Linked DNA regions of Oryctolagus cuniculus. The protein of the gene in region 2 interacts with the protein of the main gene of each other region in a biochemical or structural test. Links are inferred from orthologs where the notes say so. Each region holds a gene or a part of one and is shown on either strand. Other genes may lie near its edges.

What was found.
Region 1: the proteins of YWHAQ (region 2) and MARK2 form a complex in vitro, tested with the Homo sapiens proteins (2 studies listed by BioGRID, with this or other methods). The link is inferred for Oryctolagus cuniculus from reciprocal best matches to the Homo sapiens genes YWHAQ and MARK2.

Annotation. Positions count from the first base shown.
Region 1 is NC_091432.1:7,360,981-7,365,918, reverse strand, and holds the start of MARK2 (serine/threonine-protein kinase MARK2), read left to right. Parts: upstream 1-1,511; 5' UTR 1,512-2,083; coding exon 2,084-2,137; intron 2,138-4,938. UniProt on the Homo sapiens protein: Serine/threonine-protein kinase. Involved in cell polarity and microtubule dynamics regulation. Phosphorylates CRTC2/TORC2, DCX, HDAC7, KIF13B, MAP2, MAP4 and RAB11FIP2. Phosphorylates the microtubule-associated protein MAPT/TAU.
Region 2 is NC_091433.1:192,508,189-192,513,207, reverse strand, and holds the start of YWHAQ (14-3-3 protein theta), read right to left. Parts: upstream 3,041-5,019; 5' UTR 3,006-3,040; coding exon 2,712-3,005; intron 1-2,711. UniProt on the Homo sapiens protein: Adapter protein implicated in the regulation of a large spectrum of both general and specialized signaling pathways. Binds to a large number of partners, usually by recognition of a phosphoserine or phosphothreonine motif.

The sequences.
Region 1 (4,938 bases), on a different chromosome or scaffold from region 2:
TCCTAACTCCAGCTTCCTGCTAATGTAGACCTGGGGAGGCAGCCGCCATGGCTCAGGTACCGGGGTCTCCTCCACCCACGCCACCCACATCGGAGATCTGGATGGAGTTCCCAACTCCCAGCTTCAGCCTGACTGGGCCGTTGTAGACTATGGGCAAGTAAGTCTTAGTGGATGAAGGCCCTTCCCAACTCCTACACCTAGCCGCTCAAATAAGTGAATAAAAGCTCATGGAAAATGCACACTTTTTAAAAAATATTTCATTATTTATTTGAAAGGGAGAGTTACAGAGAGAGAGAGAAAGAGAGATTGATCTTCCATCTGCTGGTTCCCTCCCCAGATGTTTGCAACTGCCAGGGCTGGGCCAGGGCCGAAGCCAGGAGTCCAGAGCTGCTTCTGGGTCTCCCACGTGGGAATGCATGCTATGTTTATTTTTTAAAATTTCATTTTATTTCAAAGGCAGAGAGACGGAGGAGAATCCCTACAACAGCCAGGGCTAGGCCAGTCAGAAGCCTGGAGTCCGGAACTCAATCCTGGGGTCTCCCATGTGGGTGGCAGGGACACAGGTGTTTGAGCCATCACTTGCTGCCTCCCAGGGTGTGGATGAGGAGGAAGCTGGATTGGAAGCAGAGTAGCGGGGGCTTGAGCCCGGCCAGTCAGGGACGGGATGCGGGCGTCCCACGTCGACCTTACCGCTAGAAAAGGTGCATTGTTTTTTAAAAGAAAAAAAGATGAGACGATCTCTCCTGCCTTACCTGGCAGGGGCACTTAAAGTCATCTCTGGGATAAATCCGTTCGGTGGAGGGGACAGGAGCCTAAGCTCAGAGATGGCAGGTGGGTTTCCCAGGATCGCAGAGCTGGGGCTGCAAGGCAGGCCCTGGGCGTTCCCGCAGCGGAGTGTGTCGGACGCTGACCTGGTCCCTTGCCGACCTGCGGACCAGGTGCGGCCATTCACAGACAGGAGAGCCCGTGGCAGGTGGTGGGCGGGAGGCAGGTAGGTAATAGACTGACGTTGCGTTTGTCAGGTGACACATGTTGACGGCCTGTGGTGCGGGATAAACAGAAGATGGATTTTATGAGATAACCGACAGGGGGACGAACAGACACGCAGCAGGAAGCTGCTCCAGGTCCAAAGTACACCGGCCACAGGGATGGATGGCTAACAGCCTCGTCCTCTTTTTAGTCAAATAACAACACGCACGGGGACCCACGCGTCCCGTCCAAGGTTTGAAAATACCCGAAAACTGACGGAAAGAAACGAAGAGCCAGGCTCTGGGAACCCCGGGGGGGAAATGACCGCGGACTCGGCGGGCTTCGGGTGTTGCCGGAAATGGCCGACTGCCGCCCTCGGCCGCTCAGCAGGACGGGGGCGTGGCCGGCTCCGCACGCGGAGCCTCTTCGGGTGTTTCCGGAAACTGCCGAAAGCCGGCTTGACGTGGGCGGGGAAAGGGCGGTGGGCGTGGCTTGGGCGGCTCAGGAGGGCCCGGAGCCGCTTCGTAGATTTCCGTAAACAGAGCCGAAGCTCGGTCTTCGGAATCGAGGAGGTGCGCGCGTCTCCGGGGATTACCTTCTTCGGCTGTTTCCGGAATTGACCCGTAGACCCCGGCCGAGAGGAGAAGGCGCGCCCCCCTCCCGTTCCTAAGCGCTTCGGATGTTTCCGGCTGCCGCCGGCGGAAAGAGCCGAGGGCCGGCGGTGGTGGCGGCCATGTTGGGAGCAGCAGGTCCGGCGGCGGCTGCCTGTGTGCCGGGCGCGGAGCAGTGCCGCTGAGGGCAGGGGAGGAGCGAGGCAGGCGGCCGGCTGCGGCGGCAGAGAGTAGGCGGAGCGGCGCAGCCCGGCCGAAAGGCGGCACAGCCCAGCCGGGGGTCGGGGGGGTGCGGTCCGGAGCCGCTCGGAGCCGGCGCGGCCTAGCCCGAGCGGCGCATCCCCGGGCTGGCGTGAGCGGCTGCCCGGCCTCCCCGCACCCCCGGCCGGGGCCCATGCGGCGGGCGCTCCTGCTGTGAGAAGCCCCGCCCGGCCGGGCTCCGCGCCTTCCCTTCCCTCCCTTACTCCGAGCTTCTCGGTTCCCTCCCCTGAGATACCGGCGCCATGTCCAGCGCCCGGACCCCCCTACCCACGCTGAACGAGAGGGACACGGAGCAGGTAAGGAGCCCCGAGGGCTCCCCGGATTCTCTGGCTGGGCCCCTGCACCTTGCGGAGCCTCCTCCCTCCTCTGCTCTCCTCGTGCCCCGGCTGCCCTGTCATCCGGCCCTGCACATCCCCCTTCCGAGTCCTGACCCGGGACCCACCTTGAACTGACTCCAGGCTGCACACTTGTCGCCCTGCCAACCCCCCTCCGCCCCTCGCCGCCCTCCTGCGCTCTTCCGTGTTAACCTCCTCAGCTTCCCCTCTCTTCCCTTTTTCTCTCTGGGCCCTCTCTGGTCTTCTTCCACCCACGCTTCGAGCAGCACCCCGCGCCTGGCCACAGATCGTCGGCCACCTCTCCCTCCGCCCGCGCCGGCTCTCCCGGTCCCTGCTGACGACCCGCAGGGTCCTCGCCCGGGAGGGTGTTCGCCGCGAGCCCTGTCCGCTTGCGGCTGCCCAGCTGTGTCCGCCCCGCTTCGTCCTCAGCCCCGCGTGCTCGCTGTTGCCCGCAGCCCACCAGCTCCACCCTCATCCCCTTTCCGGATCGCTCGCCTACTCTTTGCTCATCACTTTCCCGTCTTTTCCCCGGGAGCTCCCCGGCTCCTGGCGCTGCCCGTGTCGCTTCCGTGTTTCCCAGCTGTCATGCGCGCAGTTTGCCCACAGGTTGCTCTGGGGTTCCTGTCCTCCCTGCCTTCGGAGCCCTGGGGGCCCCTCGTGCTCTCCTCCCCCAGGGTTCGGTTCCCAAGCCCCTGCGCCTCCTGCTCGGCGCCCTGCGTGCCCCGCCGGCCTTTGCCCTGGCCGCGGCCCGCACCCCGCGGGACGGTCGCTCGCTGTTTCCGCCCTGTGTATTCACACAACCTGTTGCTCACTTCTCTCCCGGGCCTCTGCGGCGCGCACCCGGACGCTCGGTGCCTGTCACTCCCTGCTCACTGCCTTGCTGCCCCCTTGGCTTCGCCTCGCCTCCTCTCCGTGCCTCCCCGCGGGGTTTGCTCCTCTCCTGCCGTCTTCAGGTCCTGCGGACAGCCCCCGCCCCCGTGTGCTGCTGTGCCGTCCCTGCTCCCTTCCCGTTGCTCTGTAATTCCCAGCAAGTGCTTGCCCTATGCCGCAGCCTCCCGACCCTACAAGCTGCCCCCATCCTGGCCGCACTCCCGTGGGGCGTCAGCCAAGCCGTGGCCTGTGCTGTGTGCTCTCACTGGCTGTCCCCTCCCTGGCTGCTGGGACCCTTGCTGAGGGCCCTGCCGGGGGACGCCCTGCCTTACCTCTCAGAGAACTTTCCTGGGCCCAGACAGCAGGGCCTGGCAAAGGCGCCCTCCTGCCCGGGGGCTGCACTGCGTTGGATCCTCCGCCCTCCCTCCTCTGCGCCCCTCCTGTCCCCTTTCCTTCGTGGTCGCTGGGGTAGAGCTGTTGCAGTGTTTTCATTCTCTCTGGTTGACCTGCTCCGACAGACCCTCCCCCGTGTCCTTTACTCCGTGTGGCTGTTCTGTGAGCCTCTGCTGCCTGTCACCTGCACAGTTAGGAACCCGGCAGTTCTGGACGGAGTTTTTCTCGGTGGCGGCTGGCCCTTTTCTTGTGCACGGGTTGTTTGTTTCTGGGGTGCAGGGGCATTGAGAGGGAGGGATGGGCCTGACAGCTGACTCCGTGTGGGGCAGAGTCTGGAAACGGGGAGCTTGGTCTGTGGCCCGCAGTGGTCCTTGCCCTCGCTTGCCAGCTGTTTCTCCGTTCGGGGAGCCACTCTCTGCCCTCTTGAGGCTGCTTGTTCCGTCCTTTTTTCTCTCGCAGCCTTGGTGTTGGCAGGTGGGCCCTGCTTAGCTGGATAACTTTCCGAGACTGTTGATTGGGAGCTGGAAGGAGGGGCTGAGGGCCTAACCGGCACCCCAGGCGTCTGTGGAGTGGCGCGGAGTGCCTCCTGCCCGGGAGGCCGTGGGACCTTGTGCGCACCGGCGTGGAGTCCCGGGCGGCCTCCGTGTGGTTTCTTTGTGCTGTTTACCAAATGTGGGTGTGCTGTCGCCGTGGCCTTGTGAGGTGCGCGTTGACTTCCTCTCATCCTGACACGCCGGGCTCAGGACAGCCGTGCCTGGGAACCATTTTGGAATGTGAGCTGCTCTGAATAACTGTCCGGAGCAGGGGCTGTGTGTGCTGTGGCTCTGCTCTCAAGTCTGGATTACTCATCCCCGTTTTACTCTCCTGGACTCGGGTTCCCCTGAGCCACTTGCGCGTAGTTCTCAGGGTGCCGGTCGCACACAGGGAAGCAGAGTCTTTGCAGAACCTTGGGTGACGCCTGTTCCAGGCAGGTGCTGTGCTCTTGAGAACAAGCAGAAAGACGAGCAGCAGCAGTGCTTCTGATCGCAAGGCCTTCCCCTAGAACAGATCATGCCGCCAAGTAAGGCAAGAGATCTCTTCTCGGTCCTGTGGACATTTCAGCTGAAGTGGCCGTGGAAGTGCAGCCTTTGAGTGGCCTCAGTGTTAGGAAACGGAAAGCAAGGCACTTGGTTGGACTGATTCCCTTGCCTGAAGGGTCCTGTGTCACCTTATTTAGAGTTAAATTATTTAAACTGTGGTTTCCCCAGAAAATCAGTAAATAAACTCCAGTGGTTGCCTCCAATCTCTTTTCTTGCTCTTCCTCTCGCACTTTCTTTAGAACTGTGGCTGATGAGAAGCTGATTCTGGGAGCCCTTTGATCACATCTGACGCACACACACACAGTGTTCAAGCATAGAAATCAGCCTTGTGTGGCAGGGGAGCTGCCAGCTCTGCTCCTGCAGTGAGAGTCGGAGATAAAACACAGGCAGGCCCTTTCCGTAGATGCTTGTGGCACTTGT
Region 2 (5,019 bases):
CCCAGAAATTTTCATTCCAGGGGCCGGTGCTATGGTATAGCGGGTACAGCCGCCACCTGCAGTGCCAGCATCCCAAGTGGGCACCAGTTCAAGTCCTGGTGCTTTATGACCCAGCTCTCTGCTCTGGCCTGGGAAAGCAGCAGAAGATGGCCCAAGTCCTAGGGACCCTGCATCCGCTTGGGAGACCCAGAGGAAGCTCCTGGCTCCTGATCGGCACAGCTCTGGCCATTGTGGCCATCTGGGGAGTGAACCAGCAAATGGAAGGACTTTCTCTCTCTCTCTGCCTCTCAAATAAATCTAAAAAAAAAGAAAGAAAAAGAAAATTTTACTCCAACTCCCAGTTTTTCAAATGAGACTGAGGGACAGACAAGTTGGTGAATCTGCTCTAACCTCTCCCGGAGCTCCACTCAGAGTTCGCTTTCGTCTTCTTTGGCCCTCTTAGCCTCTTTTCTCTCTAAAGAGCACTCACTTGGATTTAAACCTTTTTTCTATGCTTCTGCGGTTCAGTAACTCAATGCAGTAGTCTTCAGGAGTCAGGGGTGACCACCGTGGAGTATTCTGTGCACTGAACAACAGTACAGCTGTCTGTGCCCCAATACTCTACGACAAGCAAAGAGGAGGTGGAGGGACTCTGCCATCTTGGATAAAATGTCTGGCTGTCCTTCAAGGTCACTCTGCTCTACAGCCCTCTGCAATGAAGTCCGCTGTGCCTACTGCCTTCACCCAATTCTCTTGCCTTTCTAACAGAGAAGAAAACCTTGTTTTAACATGCATGTTTAGAAACTTTAAATGTACCTCTTCTTTCATTATTTCAACAGACTCCTTATCCAACTACCAATATGTCAATCATTACTCGTGTTCACAAGCCCGATACATCACTCCGTTGTCTGAAAGACTGGACTGGCTGGACTCCAAGCACGAATCCTGGATGCTGCCACATGCACACTACGCAAAACCCCTCACCGTGTCCCTACTCCACCCAAAGAGGAACCCCTCACTACCAGCTCTTACAGACCACACTGCCCATCTTCCAGGTTCTCTGCTCCAACAGCTCTGCACACTGAAGCCTGCTTCCCCCACGCCGGCCCTACTATTCTGTGTATTTCCTCAGCTTGGGATACTCACACACACACACACACACACACACACACACCCCGCCCAATGCTCAACCCAAAAGCCACGATTTTCAGTGAGCCTTCCTAGAGGCTTGTTTCCTTCAACGCGCCCAGCATTCTGCTCACAACCATCTTTGGGAATCACCTTGCATTCTGGACATTTGGGAATTTCTCACACGCACCTGGACTACACATTACAGGAGGGCAAAGCCACGGCTCTTGGCCCGTTCACACTGCACACAGGAAGCTCTCGTTTATGGCTGCCAACTCAGAAATGTGTTTTCCCAGGGTATTTTTTAGACGGGCCATCAAGCTGAAATTAGTCTCTTAAACCACGTTACTAATAAAATGTTTTACTTACGCATTAGTGTCTCATCAATCAGGCTAAACTCTTATTTCCTCACAGCATTTAAAAAGAATGTCCTTATTTCAGGGTTCTCTCCCATGAACCATCTGCCTGAGAAACCTGGCCTCACTGAAGCCACTACCGATTCAGCCAAGTCCCCTCCACTTACCCAAAATTCGTTGACAGCCATAAAATAAAACAAACATTTCTTTGGCTCAGAGCTAACTGGCTAGAGAACAGGAAGAACCTAGGGCTAATTCTGAGTTGTGGCAGGGTAACTAACACATGGCAAAGTAATAACCGAACAGAAAGAGTTTGAAAGCTGCTGTGAGGGCGCCTGAAACACGCACAGGAAACTTGAGACATGGAGCAGACGATGCCCTCCATAGCCACTACGTGTGTGGAAGTGAAGTCTCCCAACCCTACTAAGCTGGCAAACTCACTCGACACAGAGCGTTCACATCTTCCCTTATGCCCAGCAGGAGCTACAGGCTAAGGACGCGCGGACGAAGTGGGCAGTCTCACCTTCCTAAAGCGAACAATCCCCACAGTTCTCCCCACTTCAGTGCACTCTGTACTGCCCCCAATTATTAGCTATTTCCATCAGACAGGACTTTGTTTATGTTATCTGTCATTTATAGGAGAAAAAGATGGGTTTAAAAAAGAAATATTTTTTTTCCTAGGGTGGAGAAGGAAACAGTCTGATGGATGGAGATGTAACAGGCAAAAAAATTTTTTTCTTCTACGCCCTTTTGAAAAATCCCGACCCAGCCCCCTAAACACGCTGTGGAACAAACACGTGCAAGGCCGGCAAGGCTCTTGTCAAAGCGGCCCGAGAGGGGCAGGCGACACTCCGGGACACAATGCCAGCACTGCACACTTATCTCCCGGATCAGAAAGCGTTTCGCCATGACAAAGCTAAAACTGTCCGCTCTCGCTAGTAACGGTGAATCACCGGGGCCACCCACTCCTCCCGGCAGCCGCCCTGACCCTGGGCAGTCCAGAACCTGGAAAGCACCAGAAGCGAGCCCGGGGGCACGCGCCAGCGTCTGGGGACCGCGAGGCGACGGCGACGACAGCCACCAGCCTGAGCCCACGTCGCGAGCACCAACCGCCCCCCGCCCCGCCCCGCCCCGCCGCTCCCACTCGGGAAAGCGAAGTGTCCGCCTCGTCCCACCTGCTCAGGGCCCGCCCCTCCACGCACAAAGGGAGCGCGCGGGGCTCCTCCGGCCCGCCCCCGCCCCACTCACCAGCACCGTGGTGCAGATGGCCCGCAGCTCCGACTCCACCTTCTCCCGGTAGTCTCTGATGAGCTGCAGCTTCTTGTCCGACGTGTCGGTCTTCTGCTCGATGCTCGAGATGACCCTCCAGGCGGACCGGCGGCCCCCGACCACGTTCTTGTAGGCCACCGAGAGCAGGTTGCGCTCCTCGTTGGACAGCTCGGCGCCCTGCTCCGTCACGGCCTTCATGCAGGTGGCCATGTCGTCGTAGCGCTCGGCCTGCTCGGCCAGCTTGGCCTTCTGGATCAGCTCCGTCTTCTCCATGGCGGGCGCCGAGCACGAGCGGGTCGCGACGAGGGCCTCCGCGAGGGCTGCGCGGGGCGGGGCGGGGCGGCGGGCCGAGGACAAAAAGGAGGGCGGGCAGCGCGTCAGACAATGCGGCCCGCCGCCCCGCCGCCCGCTTTTGTCTGCCCGCGCCCGCCGCCCGCGTGCGTGGCCCTCGCCCCCAGCCCGCGCCGGGCGCCCGCCGCCCGCAGCCGCCCCGCGCCCGGGCCCGCGGCGGGAGGGCAGCGCGCCGGGGGCCGCGGGAGGGCCGCTCCCGCCACGCGCGCGCCCCAAGATGGAAGCGGCCGTTGGCCCCGCACCGCGCCGCCGGGAGCCGTCCCTGAGGGAGCACGGCGCCGGCAGACGGCCGCCCCCGGCGCCGCGCCCCCCAGCCCGGCCCCACGGGCCCCCGCGCGGCCGCAGCAGGCCCGCGGGCCGCCTCCGGAGCTCACCTTCACGTCTCGGCGGCCGCGACGCGAGTCCCACCACTTTGATCTGCCTTGGGCTTTAGCCGAGGACCCTCCCGTCTCAGCCTACCCCGCGGCCGAGCGGCGGGCCGCCGCCCAATGGCGCGCCGAGCCTCCCGGGAGGGTCCCGCCTCCCGCCCCGCGGCTGGCCAATGAGGGCTGAGCGCGCGGAAGGGGGCGCGAGGGGCGGGACGAGAGGCGACGCGGCGGCTCGGAGGGTGGGTCGGCTTGGGCAAGCTCGGTTGGCCGGCAGGCTGCGGCTTCGGCCACGGGGTTTCCTCCAATTAGATCCAGGGTACAAGGACGTCACTGTTGCCATGGCGATGCTGTTACCCACTCGCCTCTCCTCCCCGCCGCCCCGGCGCCCCTGGGCGCGGCGCGCGCGACCCCCGCGACCCCCGCGGCAGGGTGCGGGGCGCCCGGCCGGCCCGGACTGGAGGCCGGAGCTCGGCGGGCGGCCGGCTCTGCCCTGTGCCGGCGCACGCCCCGGCCTTTCCTCCACCGCCCTGTCTGTGACAAAGGTTTGGAGCTCGCGACGGCGCAGCCCAGCCTTTCTAATGACGTCGCCATCAGGGCTGCGAATTAGAGAGAATCCCATCCCCATCGGAAAGGGGAGTTGGCTCCTGGAGGAAGCGGCTAGTGCAGGAGCAGCTGGGGTTTCCAGACGGGCACCCCGAACCCCCGTGCTGGCAGGCAGGCGGGGATCCCGGCGGCCCCGGGCTGGGGATCGTCTTTATTAAAAAGTGGGAGATGCCCTGGGCGCGCAGCTAGGGCCGGGACGCCCCTGCCTGCGCCCAGCAGTGTTCGTGGTCCCCCCACCCCCCACCGGGTTATTCGTGTTTCCCACATCGTCGTCTTCGGTGCCCGCGCTCCTTATTTTTGCAGAGCTAAAACTCGCTCCCGCGTGTCCACTCCTGATTTTTCTCCTCGTGGGGACCGCGCTTCTGGAAGGGAGTCCCTTTAACCTGCCCCTCCCCCCGGCACCGCCCAGTCCCCCGCGCTCCACCCACGGTGGCTGTGCGGCTGGGCTGGGGAGGGGGCTGCTTCTGCAGCTTCCTCCCGTGAACGTAGGCTCCCGGAGCTGCTGGGACCCCCGCTCCAGGACGCCCAGGGGGCGGGCGGTGGTCAAGGACACCGCAGGTGGGAAGGAATCCAAGAGGCTCTCCTACAGGGGAGGGTCCGAGAGCAGGGGCAGGTGGGGGGAGGCTGCCTCCCGGCTGCCCCTCCCTGTCCCGACTGCTGAAGGTCGCTTTGTGCTCTGCTGGGCAGGGGCGGCCCGGGGTTGGAAGGGGCCTGTGTCCTCCGGTAGAAATGTCTTTCTGTCTCCCAGCCTCCCGCTGCAGGGCCCTGCTGTTATTTCTGGAATCCCCGGGGCTGGGACTGCAGACACACGAGTGTTTATGGCCCTGTGGGCTGGGGTGGAGCAGGACACTGAGAGATCCCTGTGCGCAGGGTTTGCAGGGGGAAGTTCAGATAAAATGCCTTCTCTATGACCCACAGGTTTCAAGCTTGCCAAAATCAGACAGTCCCAGGCAAGGGGGGGTGGG